Astyanax mexicanus: one gene and its partners. The protein of the gene in region 3 interacts with the protein of the main gene of each other region in a biochemical or structural test. Links are inferred from orthologs where the notes say so. Each region holds a gene or a part of one and is shown on either strand. Other genes may lie near its edges.

Region 1 (7,327 bases), on a different chromosome or scaffold from region 3:
TTGAAAGTGCACTGCTCAGGTCACACTGGTCAGTTAAAGTACATCTTATTGTGACATGTCAGATGTATATTGGGTGATATTGCTTGTGTGTGAGCTTTTTCCTGCATGTGGGACAGGAATGAGCTCTGGCCAGGGAGTCACGAATGCACTGGCTGCAGAAGAGGTGTCCGCACTTGGTGGAGACCATGAGCCGGCCGCTCTCGATGATCTGGGGAAAGGCGGTGAAGAGTTCAGTGCATGGAGAAAGACTACACAAGGCGTGTGTATCTACACAAAATCCACAGTGACTATATAACGCTTTAGATACAGATTTGTATCTCAGTTTTACCTCAGCATAGGCATCCATGCATACAGGGCAGCTAACAGCTCCTGGTGTTGACCTGTGAATAAGAACCCACACCATCAGTGGTGACACAGTTGGGGTTTACAGTTTCACCTTTTTTACACAGCATCAAGTTTCAAAGTATGCTAAAATAAATGTGGTAAAAAAACAAACAAACACAATCTCAATTTGTGCTGCTTATTTGGACATAATTTGAATCTAGAAGACAGTCAATATTTCAGCATGAACGACCAACAGACATTCTCCAGAATTACTTTAATTAATTTAGCAATATTTACTTTCACTAATAGTTTTGTGAAAGTAATATGAAAGTAGCCATAATCTTTCAACTGCATTTTTTTGTGTGTGTGTGTATATATATATATATATATGCAGTTGAAAGATTATGGCTACTTTCACATTATAAAAGCAACGGATGTGTAAAAACAGAAAGACTAATGAATTTCAATTGTACTGTTCACATTCAGGTTGCATGTCCATGGACTGGCTTCATATCCAATTTATGACCACATACAAAAGTGACTCAAACCAGATTTAGCACATTCACACAGCCATAAAAAAAAAATCAGATCTCAGCTACATTGAGCAAAAAAAATCTGATTTGAGTCACTTCAGCCTGGTAATGTAAACGTAGCCCTAGATGGTAAGATCAGGTTTGATCAGAAACAAAGGCACCATACTCTTTTCATAATCTTTTTTTATTTGGCATGCATAAATAATTTTCACATATATACACACTGCAAGCTCGCACTTCAAAATAATAGTATTGCTAAGATATATAGAATTTATAAGGCTTTTTAGAAAATTTTAAAAATACGAAAATACTGGACAACAAACTTTAAAAAGCAGCAGTACAGGACCTGTTTCAATTAATACTAGATGAACAGGTGTCTGTTGGACGTAATGTAATTCTATATGAGCTCCACTGAGCATATAGCTCACTGCAGTTCCATAATTACAGACTGTAGTTCTTCTAAATCTCTGTACCTTTATCCTCCTTTAAGCCGGTTCTTTAATGATCATGACCCCACTGGACTGAGAATATTCCACCAGTTAGAAATATCCAGCCAACAGCATACTATGTGCTTTGTTGAAGGACTAGAGAGTGAGACACAATGGGTGCAGCAAGATTCAGAGCTTCTGTCTCTGACTTCACATCTACAAGGTGGACCAACTACATCCACTTATTCCTACATTCCACAGACAAACACCACCACCATCACCATCCCATGGGGTCCTTATCATTGAGCAACAGGTTGAAATTAGACTAACAAATCAAAGAGTATGCATAGAAACAGAGGATCTACAGTCTCTAGTTACAAACTACAAAGTGCTCCTATATGGTAAGATGATCATGATTAAGGCATCAGCAGTACGCTGAACGCTGTGTAAGGTTTACCTGGCTGTGCTGCTTGCTCGAAGTGATGACAGTACAGCTGGATTGAGGTTTAGACTTGGCTCTTCGTCCTCATCGCTGCTTAAGACGTAACTCTCTGTGCCTTGTCCACGTCTGCTATGCGTGCCTTAGAGAATCAAATAAATTACACATGTATACTTACTCTAAATAAAAATATGCCACATTCCACGTCTTTCATAAACCAGAGACTTTAAACAAGCTGAAATGTACATTCACTGATCTAAAAGTTACATCAGTATTCCAATACTACAACTAACTAACATTGTGAACCATTAAAAACATGAAAAGGGAATTAATTACCTTCTTCCACAAGCTGATTTCCACAAGGCAATAAAAGAAGAAATAAAAGAGAAAAAGCAAAATAAAAATCATGACAAAATATCCAACACACAACAAAGTCTTTGAGGGAAGGGGCCTTCATTCATTTTATTAAAAGCAATAATATTGGACTAAGAATAATGTTGAGCTAAGAACTCACCACAACAGAATCATTATTAGTGAGGTCCACAACAGCTGGCTCAGATGCTTCACAGGTTAAGTCTACTACCTCTTCACCTTTTTATAAGAGTAAAAGAGGAGAACAGAGAAGAAAAGAAAACAAGACTGGTTAAAAAGAAAAGTGAACTCTCACAATACAACTAATGCTGAATTTGACTCTTCTTCTGAAAAAGGGTGCCAAGGAAGTTATGTAGTGATTTAACAACACTGATTAACTTACTGCTCAGTCTGTCACTTTCTAACACATCGATAGTTTCCATGACCGTCTGAGTCCTAGTCCTTTTGTTGTTGCGTCTTGAACATGAAGAAGTTGACCGTCTTTTTCTTTGAGCCTGTGAGAAGATTTAGGGTACGTTCAGCAGTGTTTCCACCCCCTACAAATTAACAGACTATGCAAGTGGCTAATTAGCTAACAGCTTCAACAGGTGTTGGGTGAACATAGTGTGCAGGGAGAGGCTGGTTTATGACCAGGAGCTGGATTCACAAAAGGACCTTACATGTTTTTTCCCCATAAACTTCATACCTAATAAAAAGGTAAACAAATAAAATAAAATAAAATAAATCTTCCTATGAACATTCCAGGAACATGTGGTTTTCTTAAGAAAACATATATTGAACTTTACTGTAGCTTTATATTTGTCTTGGATTTTAAGAGTTCAGAAGCCTCAAAACAGTCATGTTTTTTTATATTTAGTTAAGCTACCAGAATTAGTCCAATTTAACAAGTGTAGCTTATTCTTCACATTTTTTATGCTTAGTTTAAATTTTGCTTTTCCTTCATTTGGCTCTCCTCTGCAAGGATTTAACTGAGTAAGAAAAAACCTCACATTGTTTTATATATAAAACACAAAATCCAATTTTCCATTTTTTTTTAACTTAGTTTTTGGTTTAGCTTAATGATCATATGTTTTTTGGCAAATCTGGCACCAAAATTGGAAAGAGAGACATACACAGACAGACCTCAAGACCTCGATGTTTGAATCAGCATTTCTTAACTGTGTTTCTGTTGACACAAAGCTGTGCATATTCCTACACGTCCAGCTCACCACAGACTCCTGCTGCTTAGAAGCCATCAGGCCATCAACCCTTTCCTGTACCAACCCAAAGCCCAGCAGAGTTCCAACATTCCCGCCCCAACACAGCTGAATCAGATTGAGAAATCTCAATTAGCTAATGAGCTAGGTCAGCTGTGCTACGACAGGTAGTAATAAAACTGTGGTGTGTTGTGGGTCACAAGAATAACTTCTAGGCATGAGGCCTGTGTTGAGCTGGACATCTAGATGTATAGAAGGCCAACAATGACAAAAATTCATCTTTTTATTTTTTTTTTAACATTACAGTGGTATAGAGCCTGTAACATATGAAACGTGTTTATATTGTAGACCAGTGTTCTTCAATCCTAATCATGACGTAGAAGATTGTCTGCCTTAACACACTCCCTGCCATACTGAAAGGGCTTGTTAAGAAGCTGAAATTTGATTTGTAGCATATCTAGTTAGTATCCAGATGGATTTTTGATAATTTGTCCAGAAACCACAAAACTTTTGAGTTTCAGAAAGCAGATCCAAATGACATTTGGAAGTGGTTAAAAAAAATATTTTACCATCTGTCTTTTGCATTACTCACCAAACGATAACCATCAAGAAGAGTTTCTTACCATAGAAAGCCATGCAGATAAATTTGTAATGTTAAGACAGGTCAATATGCTCACTTGCAAATAGCAGTGTGAAATCATCTCAAAAGATCTGATTTGAGAAACCAATCTGATTTGACTGCATCAGCCCAAGTGCATTGGATCTGAACTCTTCAGTGTGATGGATCTCCAGAAGCAGAACTGAGCAACACTAATCTAGGACTATAATAAAACTGACACTTATAGTATATAGTTGACACGGTTCTACAGTTAGTAAGAATTAATCTTTATAATTAGTAGAAAAGTTAAGATCAAAAGAACTTACCACGCTACTCATGTTGTGGTTTGTGGCTGGGTCAGTCTCTGAAGGCGTCACGTTGGATGGAATAGGTACATTGATAGTCGCTACACTGAGCAAGTTCCCCACGGTTTCCAATAAACCTAGGGTGTAAACACCAGCTGTGGGGGAAAAACAGACTGGTTAAGCTAAATGTTAAAGCCACTGGTTTTAGCACAGACATGGTTAATGCTGCCTTCAAGTCCAACTTTGAAGTTTGTACGTAAGTATGATGTGATTACTGTTTACATGGTTTCAGATGGAAAAAACAGACCATGGGGGGAAAATAGGTGTGTTAGGGCAACAAACTGTAATATGTATGTGATTAACAAAAAGACAGCAGTAGTTGTTAAGTCAGTTGTTAACTGTTGTCAATGATTTGTTTTTACTGACAAGACCCCAACCCCTGAAAATCAGGGCTCGAAAGACACCAGCAAGACAACTTTTAATTCAGTTTCTATTAGTAAAAACCTAATATCAGATATCAGCTGTGGACTATAGGCTAATCACTTTATTAGATCTTCAGATCATTCTGACTAGTCAGATTACGGTTATAGTTTTAGACATTAAATATGTTATTGCTAGCCAAACTCAAACTGTAGTTTAGTTCACAAATTGTACCTATTCTTTATGTAAATATCCACTAGTCAAAACTTTTTAGTAGAGATTTTAATCTTGAATAAGAATTTGTACTAGTCAAAATTAATTTCTGAATATATGGACCTGGACATTTTACTATAGTCAGATTTGCCTTTTCAAAAAAAAAAAAAAAAAAAAAACTTTTGCAATGTTACAAGATTTATTTAAATCCAGTGTTGCATTAATTTTTCATCAAGTTTTTGCATTAATGACGGTAGAGTCTAACCGCTGCACAAAGCCTTCTCCAGCACATCCCTAAGATTCTCAATGAGCTTAAGATCTGAACTCTATGGTGAAAATGATCTCATGCTCCCTGAACCAGGTATAATTCAGTATATTCAGGTAGTCAGCTGACCTCATTCTTTCAGCACATACTGTTGCTGAACCTAGACCTGACCAACTGCAGCAACCCCAGATCATTTGTTTAGTTAAATGAAGGTGGAGACTTTCTTTGGTCAGGCAGTGTATGTGAAATTTACTAATACAAATAATCATGGCTATCTGTAACTGGAGTATGTATATAAGGTTAGACAGTGATCATTAATTACAAGGTTTCCATAGCAAGTTAGCAAATTGGTGTTTAGTAACACCAGTAATACAAGGCCTAGCTAACTGTTTAGCGTTCGCTAGAAAACACAAAATAATAGATATTAAATGCTTGTTACTAGTAAATCATTCTGACTCGTCACAACACCATATCATAAACATCAATTATACCATTATTGCTAGTCAAAACTCAAATTGTAGCTAGGCATCTATACTTACTACTTATTTATAAACATGTGGACCTGGATTTTATACTATAGTCAGACTTACAGTGTAACTTAAGCTAAATTATATATTAGGGGTGGGCGATATGGCTCTAAAATAATATCAGGATATTTCAGGGTATTTTTGTGATAAGGATATACTTGGCGATATAGGAAAACAGAAAAATAATTAATTAATTTCAGGAATATAGTATAATAGTATAACAGAATAATCATAATGTGGCAAAATAAATAATAGCATAAAATAATATAATGCAGCAAAAAAAAAATATATATATATATATATGGAAATTTCTACTAGTATAAATATCTGGAACTACCAGTTTTCACTAGATAAACCATAATTTTAGATAGGAACGTGACTGACTCAAACAGGTCAGAAAAAAACGAATCAGAAATCATTTGTTCTTTAGTTAGCATAGCTCATTTTTAGCTAGTTAGGTTAGCTTACTAGCTTTACAGCTTAGTCAGTGGATCTGGGTGCATCAGATGTACTCAATCTTCTATTTTGACAATAACGGCACTAAACGATCTGTAGCTAACATACTACTGAGCCACAACACAGAACCGAGCTCTGAACAGTTTATCAGTAAAACGCTTCTAGCAAACCACACGCCATATTTCACACGCACTTCAGAAAGCTAGAGCTGGCTAAATCTGGCGAGTACAATAATACCAAGCTAAGAGCGCTACCGATAAACAGTTCACCAGCCCGCCTCTCCCCTCCCCTCCCAGTCTCTCTCCTCTCAGCTCCCGCTCCAGCACTGCTGCTTATCTACAGTACAGCGCGGTTCGGTTTTTAAACACGGTTTCGGGTAAATAAACGGGTTGTCTACATACTCTGGTAATCTGAGCAGAAAAATCAGTCCAGCTTCAGTTTCAAACCACCGGAAAATACAACCCAGCGTACAGTCACTGAAGCGCCCACAGCGCCGCCCGCTGGCCGGGGGGTTTACCCCGAGCTCTTACTATCAAAAGTATCGTTTCAGACAGTACCCACATAAAGAGTGAACCTGAATAATTTGTCTTTTTTTTTTCATTATAACTTTGCAAATGTGAAGCAACCCATACGATGGAAGGCCACTCCCACCACATAAAAAGTCCAGCTTGTATTATTTTTTCTCATTACTATCTAAAAAATAATGCTAGCATCTCAAAATAATAATTTAGTACCTCAAAATAATGAGCTAGCATTTAAAGATAATTATTTAGTACCTCAAACTAATAATAACATCTCAAAACAACGACTTAGCATGTCCAAATAATGAGAGAGCATCTGAAAATAACGATTTGATACCTCAAAACAATGAGCTTGAATCTTAAAATAAAGACTTAGTAAGTCCAAATAATGAGCTAGCATCTCAAAATAATCACGTAGTACCTCAAATTATGAACCATCATCTTAAAATGATTTAGTATCTGAAAATGATTTAGCATCTTCAAGTAATTTGGCATTTCCAAATAATAATTTAGCACCTCAGAATAAGAAGTAATGTATAAAATGATATTGCATAATAAAATATTACAAAACATACAATCTATAGGTTCAACTTAGTGCTGTATTTATGCACATAATCTCTGTGGAAATAACATGATGGCTGATGAGTTTGTTTGATTAAAAATGCACAAGTAAAGTTCATAAATCAGTAACTTGTGTTTTCGAAGAAAATGTAAACATTACTGTAACATT
Region 2 (8,265 bases), on a different chromosome or scaffold from region 3:
TTTGCGGTGTTTTTATTGTTTTATTGTTTGTTCATGTGAACTTTGTCCGTAGTTAGCTAACCTAGCTTTATGCACCGCTAGCTGCGTTAGCCTAAGGTTGACATAAGGCATGGTGCTAATAGGCTCATGTTTGTTTATCTGTGTGTGTGTGTGCATCTGCACATCTGTGCGTAAAATGGGTGCAACTTAATTATAGCTGAATGCAGCATTCATTAGAAGTCTAGAACAAACATTTAGACATATAGTGCAGCTTAAATATATTAATAGAGCCTACAGGTGGTAAATCCAGGTACGGAAGTTAAAAATCTGTCCCAGATGTTTTCCAGATTTCTATCTAATAGAGGAGCTGAGGTGGGCTGAGCTTACCTTTCACAGCGTTGAGTTTGTATCCGTGATTTTTCATCTGAGAGTGTACCGCCTCCTGGTTCTCCTCTCTACCCCAGAATGTTAGGGTTACAGTCATGGTGAATGAATTTGTCTTTCCATAAGGAACCACCCTGAGAAAACAACAGCAGAGCTGAGAACCACAGCTTTATGCCCTCATTATTAAACTGAACCTTAACTTCTCAACAAAAGCATGTGCAGCATGAATAAGCACTTTCTCTTCTCTCTTACTTTCTCTGTCTGTTAATTATTTTTATTTATTTTATTTTTATTTATTTATTTAGGCAAACAAAAAAGGCAACAGGTTGACTTGACGCACTTGTCAGTCAATGCAATCAAATACTCACAGATACTCTGTTTTACTAAAATCTAATAGAAAGCCTTCTCTGGACAGTAAAGACAGTTCCTCCAACAAAAGCAAGATAAACTCTTTTTAAACCCTTGATTTCACAAGAAACCGTGAATGAACACTTTTTTCAATACTTTTCCCCATATTTTGCAATGTGTTTAATCCCCACAAGGGGATGCTTTCTTGCTGAAGATGCTTATAAATGGGTCAGTACCGTGTAGCAGAATGGCAATGATCTAAACAATGTCCTACCCTTCCACTCGGGCCAGATTACGGTCCATTATGAAGGCCAGCGCCGCTGCCAGCTCCTTTTTTATGTGTCCCACCTGACTGCCATACACGTTAGCCACCATCACCGCGTTCCGATCGTACGGGTTCTGCGGTTGCCTCACCAGAGCCACCATCTCACCTCTATTCACCTGCAGAACAGAAGTTATGAATCAAGCATACCCACCTACTCTACAGAACTGGAGCTATAAATATAATATAGCTTACAAACAATAGCAGCTCATACCACAGTTAGCGCTGTAGCTAAAAATAAGCTAATATAGTAAATATTTTAGGCTATGGAAGCTAATGCGCCAACAATTAGCACTGGAGCTAACTGCATGTCCAAATAAAGAGATGTTCAGTAATCTCTAATAGACTTGATTATGTATCTATAAACATGGCTTTGCTAAACCAAAATAAATAATAACAATACAATTAACTTTAAAGTATTGCTTTGAAGTGAAACAATACAAAGTAATAATGATTAAAAAATATATATGTTAACTATTATTATTATTATTATTATTATTATTTGTTTATTATATATTTTTTTTTTATCAGTGTACGTATGATGGCTCATACCGTTCCGGTGTAGTACCTCAGACCCACTATGGTTCCCTGAAAGGTTCCAAAGCACCGGTTCTCCTCCTCCGCGTCCTGATCATGGGTGGACTCAGAGGTGGAGCTGCTCTGGGAGGGCTCCTCCTCCTGCAGATCAGAGTGAGACACACCCCCAAACCTCCTACTCCCCAAACCACGCATGCTGGAGCTGAGAACACAACACAGAACCCACACAAACAAAACATAAAGATGCTGACAATGCACAAAACCCACACTACTCAAGGTTTTAAAGAGTGCCATAGTGGCTGCCCTTCTTTGAGGAAAATAAAAAGTGATTCAGTGCTTGCTATGGTGCACCATGCAATATTATGCAATTATTATGATGTGCCTCTAGTTCAATAAATGGTAATAATGTGTTTTATGCCATCACTGTGTCACATACACATACCATTATTAAACTATTTGTCAACAACTATTTTGAACCCTGGCCAGCACAGAAACACACACACACACCCTATATGAATTTAGCGCACAACTGAAAAATTATTTATTCATTGCTGTTGCCAACTATTATTGTAGTAGTGCACAGATAGTTTATTAAAAACACTGTTTATACACACAGTGTAATCAGCTCTCCCTCCTGTCCGCCCCTAAACCCATACATCACCCAGTGCCCCTCCCAAACTACTCCTCCCATTTTTTGAGCCCTTTTATGGGAATTACATAGTAAACAAAAAGTATTTGTCCTCCACATTAATCCCCTGATCTAAACCTGATGAACTAAGATGAACTGAGATGGTGATTTGAGGTGATTTGGGATGAGCTGAAGCTTCACAGCATGAAGGAAAAGCAGAAACTATTGTTCAGCACATCCAGGAACTCCTTCCTTCAAGAAACTGAGAAAGCTATTCCAAGTGACTCTTTCTCATGAAGACACTGAGATTAAAATACTAAAAGTGTGCAGATCTGTCCTCAAAGATAAATGTGCAACTTATTTAGAAGAATCTAAAGTATAAAACATATTCTGTTTTGTTTAACAATTTTTTATTTACAGAAAAAGTCTGAATATTATCCAGTATAGCTTTAATATAGTCTTTAATTGTTAAATGTACAATGTAAAAAAAACAAAAAAAAACAAAAAGAAAACACATTAATTGAGAAGAGGTGTGTCAAAACTTTTGTAATACTGGTTCTGTATATGTACAGTATATATCGTTTTATTCTAATTTTATAGCTGGCAGTTTACAGTTGCAGTGTAAAAAAAAGACATTTAAATGATAATAATAGTTTATTAGCTAGATTAACGTTAATTGTGGGGAGCACCTTTCTCTTAACAACATTGACCTGCTGTTAGTGTAGTTTCAGAGCTCCAGCCATTTAAAACATTTAAATAAACTTTTATTCAATGTTAGAGTTTTAACAATAAGCGACTTTAATAACACTAATGTTAAATTATAAGTTATAAGTTAGTTTTTAAGTTTGTTTTTTCTTTGTCAACATAAAAAGATGTATGTTAAGTTAGCTAATGCGACCAAAACATTACCCTCACGTTTATTTAACGTTCTCTTGTGTCAGGATGCTACACTCACGCGCACGGGCGCTGTATTTACTAAGTAACTAGAACAGGTGTACGCGTGCCCGCGCACTCACCTGTCCGGCAGGTTTACCTGCAGCTCGGCCGGGTCGCTCCGGACTCCGATTACCGTTGGTTACTTCTGGTTCCTGTTGTCAGGTTTTTAGCGCGCGCGGAGTTGCTCTGCAGTTGATCTGCAGCGGGGCGCGCGCTGTGTGGTGGTGCGAGTGTGTGAGCGCGTGCAGCGCCCCCTGCTGGTCGGAGCGGCGGTGCATTTAGAGTGTGTTAGTGCACCAGAGGGCTCCCCCCTCACTGACTACAAAACGAATAGGTTTAAATGGGGCAATTAAAAAGCCAATAAACCCTAAACCATATTGTTTTCCATTAATAGTTGAAATGTGTTCATTTGAAAAAAAAATGAAACATACCAGTCCTGCTTAAAAAAAAATTAAAACATTTTCTTACCTTTAAACAACGCTTTTATTACGGTCATTTTCGCTTCTGAATCGCCCCCTCAGGTTCAACTGTGCTATAGGCGTGGATGATGATTCCATGTATTTTGGTATGCAGACACATCACAATAGGCAAATTAATGAATCAATATTACCGCCCCCCCTGCTGACGTCCAACCATCTGCGTCTCACCGCCATCAGAAGTGCAGCTCAGCAAATCAGCTCCTCCTCCTGCCCAGCCTCTAAACCCATACATCACCCAGTGCCTCTCCCAAACTTTGCCCATTTTTTGTCCTTTTTTAAATCAGAGGTTTAGTGCCCCTTTAAGTTTATGAATGTTTAATCCTTTTTACACTTAAAACTTTACTCATTTCCTTAACACAGAACAAGTAGGTTTTATCATTGTAGACATAATTTTAAAAGCTTTTAAACTCCAGTTATAAAACTTTTAAACTCACCAACCAGTCAGCAGATATATATAAAACACTAGAGACCCTGATTTAAATAAAAGTAAAATGAATTAAGCTGCACACTTAAGTGGGAGTACTAAAGTATTTAACATTTAACAAACCGTGTGCCAGTGTGCCAGTGTAGATCATCTTCTACTCTGGCTTCAGTGAAAATGTGGGTTTGGAATGATTCCTAACATTTTTATAATTGTAACGAGTAACAATGCAGCACTCAGTGGGCATCCTCTAGGGTTAATTTTAGTGGTCACTGTTTTTTTCTTCTAATTTTGTACTCTGTAATTTTGTTTTAAATAGGAAATCTCCACATTTCTGAATGTCTGTCTAAAATTCAGAATGTTTTATAGAGACAGTTGAAAATGTAGCACACAGGAACTGATGTAACTTTAATTTTAACTTTAACTTTTAATTTAATTTAATTTTCTTTAATTTAATCAAACACAAATATATAGAATATTATTTTATTATTGTTTTATTCTTAAAATAACAAACACACATACACTTTAGCAACAACCACCAGCAGGGGGCGCCCTCACCCCACTGCACACACACTGCCACCACCTGTGCTGGAGTTCTGAATGGGTTCTGGACCAGGAGGCGGAGTTTCTGATAGATCACCTGTTTATTCTGTACAATTAAGATTTCTCAATGACACTTAGTGGTTAATGATCATGAACAAGTAAACAAGGGTCACTGACGGGTCAGCGGAACAGTGGGTCAGGTGATTGAGATCTGAACACTTTTTTTACAGAGTTTCAAAAAAACTATTCAGAACAATTAATACAACTGAAATCAATAATCAATAAACAATCATCAAATAAAGTAATTAGGATTCATTTAAAATTGAATTACACAAAACACTAGATAAACACAATGGTACACAAACTACCACTAAACTACACCGACTACCCCCCCACCCCACCCCACACCCCCCCACACCCTCCATAAACCCTACTAGAGCTGGATCGGATTACCCTTAATCAGACATTTCATCCAGTATGAATCTGCTGTGTGCAATTATACTACTAACTGTAATGTAATTTTAATCCAGTATTTATTCTTTCGATTTTAATCCATTTAATCCTGCAGTGTGTAGTTATAATGCAAATAATAGTAATAATCATAAACTGACTTTAATCCAGTATGAATCTTTGGTGTGAATTTTTACTACTAACTGTAAACCAATTTCGATCCTTTATGAATCTGCAGTGCTTATTCTTTCAGTTATAAATGAAAACTCATTTTAATTCCATATGAATCTGCAGTGTGAAGTTTCAGTAAAATTCTAAACCAATTTTAATCCAGTATGAATCAGAAGTGTGTAGTTTCAGCAATACTTGTAAACTAATTTTAATTCAGTACGAATTCTGACAATAACTGTAATCTGTTATTAATCTAGTATGATTCAGCAGTGTGTAGTTTAAGTAATAACTGTAAACTGATTTAAATCTAGTATGAATATGTTGAGTGTAGTTTACCTGTTAAAAACAGATTTAATCCAGTATAAATCTGTAGTGTAGTTTAACTATGGAAAACTTATTTAATCCAGTATGAATCTGTAGTGTAGTTTAACTATGTAAAACTGATTCAATCCAGTATGAATCTGTAGTGTAGTTTAACTACGGAAAACTGATTTTATCCAGTATGAAGCTTCAGTGTGTAGTTTACCTATGACAAAAAAAATAATTCAGTATGAATCTGTAGTGTGCAGTTAACCAACAGAAAACTGATTTATTTAGTATAAATCTGTAGTGTAGTTTAACTATAGAAAATTAAATTAATCCAGTATGAATCTGTAGTGTGTAGTTTGTACAATCCGACACTAATAACCCGGTATGAATCTAATCCAGCTCTAATTGGGCTTTGGTCTTTAGTTTACAACTTGGCATTTAGACAAAGTGAAAATAAATAATTGAACTCAATTATTTAATTGGCGAATCGAGGATCTCCTCGTACTCCTGCCTCCGACTCTTCCCCACCCAGAACAGCTTCACTGCCGCCAGCGCAACAACGCTTATGATGATGACGAGGCCTCCGACCATGTCGTAGACGGACGGCACCATGTGCAGGACAAGCAGCTGCAGCAGAGCGGCCACCACAATCTCCAGGTGCTGGACGGTGCTGACCAGAGCAGGGTGCAGGCGGTTCAGGGCGTAGTACACCCCGAGGAACGCCACGGTGGAGCAGAGACAGATGCTGATGAGGTACGCCCAGGTCTCCCCATCCAGAGGGATGATGGGCTCCTGCAGGACGAACATGGTGCAGGCGCCCCACAGCGTCCCCGTCCAGCCGAAAGTGAACAGAGCCGTCCACATGCTCACCTTCTCCTTAATTGACCTGTAGACGATCATAGACAGAGCGGCGGTCAGGCCTGCCATGACCGTCATGGTGTACCCGAACGCCTCCTTCCAGAACCCGAGCGACCGGTCCTCGCTCACGATGTTGGGCACCATGACCAGGCAGAGTCCGAACACGCTGCTGACCACGGTGACCATGTCCACTGCACCCAGACGCTCATCCGTGAGCAGGAACGCTAGCACGGCACTGAACACCGTGGTGGTGGCACGCCACATGATGGTGCCGTTGCTCGGCGGTACGATGGCAAAGGAGGTGTAGGCGCAGGAAATGGAAATGACGTTACACACGCCGTAGAAGAAGAGCCGCACCCGGTAGCCACTGGGCCCGAACGGCTCCTCCTGGTGGTAGAAGACCACGGCGACGGACAGCACCTGCAGGACCGAGCGGATGAAGAGCAGCTCCAGCGAGGGAACCCTAGAGCGGTCAGCGGCCAGGCGGGTCAGCAGTGCCACGCAGCCGTGCGCCAACGCCGCCACGAACAGTGCCCCCCACGTTAGCCTCGAGGAGAACACACACGCCTCCCCGAAACTCTGCAGCTGACCTCCGACCCCACTGCTGACCTTCTGATCCCCACCGGGTTTGGGCTGACCGTCCACAGAGCCAAAAAACGTCCGGCCCAGTTTACTGTGGATAAAAGTAACAATAATAACTATATTAACAACAATAATAACAATAACCATAATAACAGTAATAATGACAGCAATAATAGTAATAATATTATTAGTAACAGCAGTAACAACAACGTTAATAGTAATTCTACTAATAGTAATAACAATAGTGATACAATAATACAAACTACAATAAAAGCAGTCCAATTTGCAATTTAACAATACATTAATGTATCCAAACTTATGATAACTATTAAGTTAACAATAAATTATATCATATATGTAAAATTAGCTCCACCCCTATAACCTATAACGGTTAAAAACTGTTGTACCTGTGTAGTTATCTGATAAAAGCAGTAGTTACTGACTATATTGGCAATAATAAAAGCTATGGTGTAAAACTGTGCTGTCGTGAACCAAAGAAACAGTGTTTCAGTTTACCACACAGTAATTAAACTCCACCCCAGTTTGTGGGCGTGGCGTGTACACACCTCTGAGGTCCAGTAGAGGTCAGCCTCTTCCGGTCGGAGGTCTCTTCTACAAAGGAGCCGAAATCTTCGAAGCTCGGGGCGTCATCGTATCCCTCTTCTCCAGGCTGCGGGAAGTGGGTGGCATATTTCACCGTCACCGTGTTGGGGTGGATCTTCACCTTCTTCTTCGGGCCGAGCAGGTGTTTACTCGGAGAGTCGTCCATGTCTCTTCCTCCGGCTCTGAGAGCTGAGAGAACACACAGAACCGAACAGAACCATCAGAACCTTATCACTGTCTATATATCTACAAGTATTCAGACATGTAGAAAGCACTAGAGGCTTTCTAGACTTGAGTAAAGTACTATATCAAAAAAGTGACTCTTTTAGTGTCCTATCCTATTAATATATCAATCTTATATCCTAATATATATATAAGTGCACCAGAGAAAAGGGCGTGTCTAAGACATACAGTTGCATTATGTCAGAAGAAAGTGTGCAGGGTAGGAGGCGTGGCCAAAGCAAATAGTTTTAGCATATTAAAATACGGTAGGCGTGATGGTGGGCGTGATTTAGGGAAATCAGCACCATATCACTATAAAGTGGGTGGGGAAAGAGGCTGGGATTTTCTCATATTGTCCATCATCTCAGAATAAAGCACTCAGAAAAGGGGGCGTGGCTAAGGTATAAAATTGCATTGTGTCAGAACAAAGTACCCCAAGTGAGAGGCGTGGCTAAAGCTAACAGTTGCATTATATTAGAATAAAGCATTTAAG
Region 3 (8,270 bases):
TTATATAATGCTGGAGTTATTTTGAGACATCAACTACACTACGTGCAAATCCTGATCATTACATTTCCAGAGATTAAACAACAGCTCCACTTATCTAATGACAAGGAGTATATTTACATGTAAACTGCATGATTCTGATTTGCAAAAGTCAGCTAGAGCAACCAGATTTTATAAAAAAAAACATGCCGTATGAAACTTATGAAGAAAACATGTAGTCATTTACTGGCCAATACATATTTGGTAGCGCATAAGACTACTTTACATTAAATAGTTGTCATGCTTATTTCCCTGTTGTATTAAGATAGAATTTTCGAACATTTTTTCTGTTACCATATATCTGCAGGTATTGGAAATTATTTGCAGCCTGAGCATCAAGGTCTACAAACACTGAAAACACACTTGCATAGGTCATGTTTTATGTAAGACGACAATCAAAAATATTTAAAAAAATGGGAAAGCTTATTTTATGCTACATAAGTATTAAATAAACAAAATAATAAAATCACAACTTTTAGTCTGGCCTATTAAACTTGAAAAAAATGGCATCCAGCTCCTGTAGCTCATTTGCATGCATCATAGTCAGACGACAATAATTTCTGCATTACGTTCATCAATCTATGCACACTAGTAGAGTTTTAACCTGCATGATTACAGGTCAAAATGTGATGCAAAATATTTTAAGGGTACAGTGTAAATGCCCTTGATAAATCGGTGTCATCACACAAATTCAACATAACCTCATCTGCATTAATTACTAAAGATAACGCAAAAAAAGAGACAGATATCACTATCATACAGCCGCACTGCTCATCCCCACAACACTGATGAATAAATGAATTTGGTGGTTGGCAGGTTCCTGTTCCTTTATTCAAAATACCCTCAAGAGAGGAAAATTCCTGAAATATTTCAGATAGTCCATGGACAAAACCATGCAGAGAAAACACAGACAAGAGAGGGGCTCCCAATCCCAGTCTCACGCTTAAGGTCTTCATGTTCCCAGCCCTCCCACACCCACACCAACAGACCACAATACTGGTGATGCTCAGTGCATACACAATATCCAATTACTGCTACAAGAGCATGGGGACTGAACAAAGAGCATACAATAAAATAAGAGGAACATGCAGATAGCAAAGTAGATATTTTTAATTAACAGACACTTTAGGATTTTTTTTGTGACCTGTTTGCCATGACTTAAAACATAAAACTCATGTGTCAGGACACTATTTAAGACTAAGTCAATTCACTTGACTGTTGTTGGTACTTTAATCCATTACATTTTAATTAATTTCATTTTCATATTGTTCATACACGTCACACTGCAGATTGTACGATGCATCTGCTTATACTGTTGACAGCGAAATCACACAATCATACTTGCCCTTTAGACAATCTGCAACTCTTTTTTAGCTTTTACCTATGCAAAAATGTTATAATATCACGGTTTTTATTTTGTAACTGTGTGTAACTGCGCCATTTCTGTAGTTATCAGGGTCTATTGCAATATTTGAACTGCCTCTGTAATAAGGCTAACAAAGTGATACTAGCTATTTAACTAGCTTATCAGTCTAATCATCCAGTTAACCTTCATGCATAAAATGTGTTGCATCTGTTCTGAAGCGTGATATCATTGTGTTATTTTTGAAGTTATGTTAAAAAAAATCAGATAGATCAGATTATGAGAAAACCTGTTTTGGAGGCTTGTGGAAATGAAGGTGCGGCACAGGAACATCAGGCCTGCTGACACTGAGCTAGCAGCTCATGGGTGTAAGGACCAGGCCAACACTAGCATCAGGACACGCCTTTATACCAATACAGACTTATTGATTATATTATAGCATTAAAAACATTAAGAATAAATGTGGAGCGGTGTTGAGCTGGTGGTGATCTTTCTCTCCAAGAGACAAATCTGAAACGAGGCACCCCATCTGACGGGTTTTTATAAACCAGCCATTAGAGGCTTGTCTGCAGAGGCTCGTAGAGCGGTCAATAGCCACGAGCTCGATCTGAATATTAATGTAATATTTCACTTAGTTAGCTACCTATAGCTTAGCTAATTAATCTAATGCTGTGGTGATTCTCAACTTGCTGTTAGCTACTGAAATAACGAAGGCGCTGTGCTTTTATATTCGCTCAGACATAACTAGCTAGCTAGTTAGCTTGGCTAGCTAGCTACATTACAAGGCACCTACAATGACATTCGGCTACTTTTAGTTTCGAGCTAGCGTTAGGTTAGCTAAGCTAGCTAAGGCCTAGCGCGGAAAAAGCTGCATAGCTACTAAAACTGGCTAGCTAGCTGACTATGCTAAGATAAGCTAAGCTAGGTCTACAGAGCGGGCGGTACACGAAGCGGGGTTTAACTACTAGCGATTACTTTCATTTAAGAGGCCGTGGCTCATTTACTGTGTGTTCATATGCGACCTTATTGCACATTAAAGCACCCTTGTGCTAAGATTATTAACTCTAAGTTATCAAACTAAGATTATGATTAGCTAACTAAGTATATTACTGCCCTGTTAGCCACACAGCTAGCGTTAGCTAGGCTTCAATCGATGAATGGCAGCAGTCAGTTAGCTAACCTATCTTAGATAGCTAATGCTAACTTAGCCAGTTAGCTAGCTAGCTAGCCTGACCGTCAGTTTTAAGTTAGCAAGCTACCTTGCTTATTCGCTCTCTCAAACCCCGGTAATCTGCTCGCTACCGTCGCGTTTAGCTGATATTTTAAACGTTTATGCACACGAGACGAGCCTCCGCCATTTTCGCTGCTCCCAGCCCGCCGTGCGTGTATTTTTAACCCACCCATATTCGGGTGAAGCGGAGAGGTGAACGGAAGTGTCTGGCTAACAAACACTAGCAGCAGGCGCAAACAACGCCAGCCAGCCCAGCCGCCCGCCTGCTCGCTCTCAGCCGCACCGCGTTGCGCTGCGCCCCGCGGCCGTGTCGGACTCGCCCGGCTTCCCGATTCAAGAAGCAGGAACGAGCTACTCGCAGAAAATCCGCCTCACAGTTACCTTGATGATCCTGCGGGGCAATCCTGCCATCTTGTCTTGAATGCGGGTTTTTTAGCTTCGTCTCTCGGTGCCTCTTCCTCTCAGAGACGCAGTGAACACGCCCCCCAGCGCTGCGTCACTCTCCAGCACTCCGCCGCCGCCGCACACCCGGCTCACCCTGGAACATGTAGTTTTACCCACCCGCTCAGTCCAGCGCCATTTGACTCCTTCATTCCGCCTGAAAACACGCACACGTTTCAGTCCTGCAGAGACCAGCACGCATTTAACGACGTCTCAGCGTCAAACAGTCAATTACAGTCTGTACTATTGTTTAAGGCTTTAGTCACTTTATATATAATGGAGAGAGCACAAGACCCATCCAATAAAAGTAAAAAAAATACAGTAGCATGAAAAAAGAATTCTGACCCCCCCCCCTTTTGTTTTTGCCTTTTTGTCATTCTGATATGTTTCTGATTATCAAACAAATCAGACATAGATAAACTGAGTAAATATAAAAAGGCAATTTTAAATGATAATTTTATTTATTAAATGTCTTATTCCATCGTTTTTAGTTCATTTTAAAATGTCTATTATGAGTGAAAGCCATGTGAGCCGTTTAAAAAAAACTAAAAAAAACTAAAAAAAAACGGAGCGCTCTAGTGTTTCTGTTTAACTGAACTAAGTTGGTCTCTAAACAAAGACAGGATTTCGGCTCTTGCTCATGAATATTCACACATGCAAACATATAGCTTCTGATTAGCTAACAGCACTGCAGCAGAAATCGCCTACCTGCCTTACCCTCACAAAGATAGATTGCCAGGTAAAGTTAACCCTTAAACTTCGGCTAACCTCAGACTCTCAGCGTAGGCCACATAGGCGAGCAGCCCCGCGGCCAAAAGAAACGCTATCAAGAGCGGAGGCTGCCCATCACCCATCACCAACCAGCACACCCCACCAATGCCCAAGCATCTCTAAGCCCCCCACACCACACCACACCCCAACCCCCCCCCCCCCCCCCTCCCCCAGTAGAAACAGTTTCTTCAACAATCCTGCTAAAACATTCAGCTCAAGACCAGCTGGGCATTCAGATAAAAACATACCCTATGCTGGCAGACTAGCTTAAAAATAGCTCTTGACATCCCCTTCTACAATACTTGGAAAGTAGCAAAAAAAATGGAAATGTGACATAATCGGCAGGGAGGGTGTGTTTATTGTTTGTGAGATATTACATATTTGTGTTGAATACATTTATACTCCTGCTTAATAAACAAATGTTAAAAGAAAAAAGTAACTCCTGACTAACACAGAATATGTCTTTTTTTCTGGATGACCAGCTGTTCTTGAGCTGGAATTTTGGCATAAAAAAAAAAGAAAAAGCAGATATCTCATTACTTTAGTCCATATAAAGTTTTTTTATTTTTATAAAATAAAATATTTTTTTACTGAAAACCACACTGTAAACTAGTTTTAATTTAGCTGTTCATATTGCTATACTTTATTAATCCCAGGGAGATTTGCCCGCAACTTTTTCCTCCTCATTTTTTAAAGTGAAATAATACACAAAGAGGACAAAACAATTAGGATTACACATATGGCCCAGCCCATTCCCTACCCCATACTCTAATCACTCAATACATCTCAAAGTCTGTCCATTTGCAGGAATTTCTATATTGCTAAATTAGTTCTCATTTCTAACTCTTCTATGTTGCTATGGCTACTAATGATGCAATTAACAACTGAATAACATCCACTTCCACAATCAATTCTAAATGTTCTATGTTGCTGTGGCTGTTTATTACCTAATCAGCAACTCAATTAGCATTCTTCCAATTTATTTTATAGTTATAACTAACATTTTAAATTACATGATTGTGTACAGCAGTTTAAATTGTTTCAGACATGTAACAGACATGATGAGAATCTGTTAAAGTAAAATCTTTTTAGATTGATTTCCTCTGAAAGTTAAATGTTGTTATTCCTTTTCCCGTAAAGATGTTAACTCGGCACAGATGTGTATAATTCTATATTGAGGAACTTTTGGAATGTGTCACCAGATCAAAATCAAATCATGTTACAGTCCGGGTCAAATGAGGAAACGTCATGAAGTACTCAGCTGATGTAACAAAGTTAAACATGTTTTTTTAAAGGTGGCCTGAGATCTGCATGACCTCAGAACAAAAAATGAGCATAGAGTCTTCTAAACTCTTATAATTTTCTATTTTTTTTTATTTGTGGTTCAAAAGTGAGAGACTGAGGTAGTGCTGTGTGTGTGTGTGTGTGTGTGTGTGTGTGTGTGAGTGTGTGTGCGTGTGTGTGTGTGTGTGAGTGAGTGAATGAAAGAGAAATCTTTTGGAGGGAGGGGGCACTGGATCTTGGATGAGCTGGTCCTGCGCAGGAGGATTAAAATAGTTGGTTATCAGTGCTGTGGCTGCTGAGTGTTGGAAAGGCTCGCAGGAGGAGAGGAACACAGCTGGTGAGAGACATGAACTCTCTGCAACTGCCTAGAACAGGTATGTAGAACAGGAATCACCACTTCTGCTGCTGCTGCTGCTGCTAAAAAAAGGAAATAATAGGTAGAACAACAGATTCAAATCAGCGTGTTAACTTGTATTTTGTCACCTTAGATGAAAAAGTGTCGAACAGTTGAGTAATCAGACGTTCTAGGCCACAGTTAGTTCATGCAATGCTTTTGCTTTTTGGGTTTATTGCTGAGAACACGGTCAACTGATGCAGAGAAAAACTTTCTGAATAGAAAATGTTGACTGAGAAGACCTAATGCAAACATTATAATAGCAGTTTCTCATAAAGAACTGATTTAACAATACTGAACAAACAAAAGAGGACAAAAACGTGAAACATAATTAATATAAATACAAATTATTTATGTTGTAAAAGGTATTACACCCCACATTTTTTTTAAATAGCTAGAATGACTATAATGGTTAGAACAAGACTAGAGGGGAGCCTGTCATATTTAAACCCCATAAACATATTGAATTTAATTTGTTGGTTCTTGACTAGTGTGTTGATGTGAGTAGTATCACCATTACCAGATCCAAAGAGCTCTCTGAGACATTCAGATAGAGGGTTGTAGGTACATTTGAGTCTGGAAAGGTATTTGTTTATGTGTGTATTTTCTCAAAATGTATTTACAACAAATCAACACATTAACCCATAAAACCATTGGCTTATTACTTGTTAATTACTTGTTACTTGTACATTACTTATTACTTGTTAATCTTCATGCAAAAGCTATGAAATATGTGATTTTAATTTTCTGATGGTATCATAACTCCTTGTGGAGTCACACCAGTTTCTATTTCAGGGTTTATAAAACTGAAATTCAAGTTGTTTGATACAGAAACTAAAGAACAGTGAGCTACATAATCTATACGATTATATTGAACTAATTTATTGGATATTATATCCAGATTGCACATCACATAAGTCTCTCTGATGTACATTGATGTAATTACATTTAGTTATTTTATATTTAGCATCATAATCTGATGCACATTTTAATTTCATGAATAAATCATCAGCATTGCGTAATGACTTTGTCACTATTGCACTTAGATTTATTTGTTCAGGTCAGTCTGGTCTTACACTCCAACCACAATCTATACAATTCATTACAATTCATCACTCCTTTTCCATAAACCGACCCTCAGAACATCTTCTTCTGACCTTCATGTATTACTTTCAAACAGGATCTTTACTTATCAGCAAAGGGAGGGAAAAAATGCTATCTCATGGCCCACATCATCCTCTCCCAAATATGCCATTGTTCCAGGACACAGGAGCAGATGAACCAGGGCCTAATCTATAGCCTTCTGCCTGTGCACAGAGTGAACAGACAATACCAGCTGAATTAGAGGCGTTACTGCTTTGACTGAGCACTTGATATGAAAGGCAGAATGTAGTCTGACAAGGCTAAACCAGACTTCCTAACCCGTCCGAATGGCATTTCAACCACTTCAGTGCTTCGCCAGTAGATGGAGGTTAAGGCCCTTGAGATCCTGTTTTTCCACCTTTAAATATGCATAAAAAGTAAACTCATTAGTTTACATTGGAGCAGTGTTTATATGGAGTCAAATGAGGGTGATAAATAATCGAGCATCTGCAGTTGTATATTACCTTTTATGTGCATGTGCATTTGCAGCTGTGTATGCGTGAAATAGTTTTGTGCAGGTGTGTAAAAGATTTTGTTGATGCAGAATTTTTTTGCGAGTGTAATTAAAATATTTGGCATATTTTAAACAGTGAGTTGAATGTGTTACTGATTAGTACAACAAGCCACTGCAGTGTTGTGTTTGATTATAGAATGTTTGTGTCTATGTCTTATATTTGTCTTTTTACACATAATGATATAATATCTGGGTGCGCAAACTTTTTTCACACTTGCTTAAAAAATTTCTACAGGTATAAATAATTTTGTGTAGACATTCCTGCTCTTACATTCTACAAACTAACATGTTAGGATGCTTGGTTATTGTTTTTTAGTCAATGCAATATGACTACAGAGACATTTTAGAAAGTTTGAATGCATTGCTGTGTATTGGAAAGCCAATAAAACAATTTTTAATAATTATACTACTGCATTTATGATGTAGAGTCTGAACGGAGTAAATACACAAATTGTAAATATGAATTTCATAATTTGTTTTATAAATTTGCACCACCTTCAGATGTTTTGTGTACACAATTTAATAAATCACTACAGCTTATCTTAATTAATTATCTTAATAATAAATGAATTAATGATTTTTTTTTTCATAAATGTAAAAAAGTAAATTTTTTACATTTTGTTTTTCTTAACATTTTTACTTGATTTGAACATGGATTTTTTTTTCTCTACATTGTCTTCAAACTCTAGGATAAATTAACTCTTGACTTCTATTAAAGATTTGTTTTTTTATCTTTGTTTTTGTTATGATTTGCAGCCCTGTATTCAAAGAAATATATTGTCTCAGTTGCATTTTTATTTATTGTCCATGTATATTAATGATTGAAATATGAATGTATAAATAAAATATTGACAACACTTTTAATTATAAATTAATGACACAAAACACAAATTTAAAATATCTGCTTAACTGTCTTCACCCACTGTGTCCTATTCCCAGGTGTGACCTTCTGGAGCTCTTCCAGAAGTGTGTTCTGTCTTACAGTTCTGTTCGCCTGCCTGACCATCGCCACCCCTTTCCATAGCCCTCCCATGATGCCCGGCTCAGGTTCGGCCTTCTCCGCCACGCGCAGCAGCAGCGTGCTGGGTGGCTC

What was found. The genes of interacting proteins can lie anywhere in the genome.
Region 1: the proteins of ube2na (region 3) and rnf4 form a complex in vitro, tested with the Homo sapiens proteins (2 studies listed by BioGRID, with this or other methods). The link is inferred for Astyanax mexicanus from reciprocal best matches to the Homo sapiens genes UBE2N and RNF4.
Region 2: the proteins of ube2na (region 3) and hltf form a complex in vitro, tested with the Homo sapiens proteins (2 studies listed by BioGRID, with this or other methods). The link is inferred for Astyanax mexicanus from reciprocal best matches to the Homo sapiens genes UBE2N and HLTF.

Annotation. Positions count from the first base shown.
Region 1 is NC_064417.1:19,060,912-19,068,238, forward strand, and holds the start of rnf4 (RING finger protein 4), read right to left. Parts: upstream 3,347-7,327; 5' UTR 3,332-3,346; coding exon 3,209-3,331; intron 2,591-3,208; coding exon 2,479-2,590; intron 2,316-2,478; coding exon 2,239-2,315; intron 2,074-2,238; coding exon 2,061-2,073; intron 1,867-2,060; coding exon 1,743-1,866; intron 381-1,742; coding exon 329-380; intron 209-328; coding exon 59-208; 3' UTR 1-58. UniProt on the Homo sapiens protein: E3 ubiquitin-protein ligase which binds polysumoylated chains covalently attached to proteins and mediates 'Lys-6'-, 'Lys-11'-, 'Lys-48'- and 'Lys-63'-linked polyubiquitination of those substrates and their subsequent targeting to the proteasome for degradation.
Region 2 is NC_064425.1:42,845,183-42,853,447, forward strand, and holds the start of hltf (helicase-like transcription factor), read right to left. Parts: upstream 3,347-8,265; 5' UTR 3,215-3,346; intron 1,773-3,214; 5' UTR 1,766-1,772; coding exon 1,586-1,765; intron 1,153-1,585; coding exon 986-1,152; intron 498-985; coding exon 367-497; intron 1-366. Other genes in the region: slc35g2a (solute carrier family 35 member G2a), read right to left, coding at 5,979-7,038, 7,514-7,716. UniProt on the Homo sapiens protein: Has both helicase and E3 ubiquitin ligase activities. Possesses intrinsic ATP-dependent nucleosome-remodeling activity; This activity may be required for transcriptional activation or repression of specific target promoters.
Region 3 is NC_064416.1:21,041,762-21,050,031, reverse strand, and holds the start of ube2na (ubiquitin-conjugating enzyme E2Na), read right to left. Parts: upstream 3,169-8,270; 5' UTR 3,042-3,168; coding exon 3,012-3,041; intron 1-3,011. Other genes in the region: c1qtnf13 (complement C1q tumor necrosis factor-related protein 4), read left to right, coding at 5,473-5,500, 8,117-8,270. UniProt on the Homo sapiens protein: The UBE2V1-UBE2N and UBE2V2-UBE2N heterodimers catalyze the synthesis of non-canonical 'Lys-63'-linked polyubiquitin chains. This type of polyubiquitination does not lead to protein degradation by the proteasome.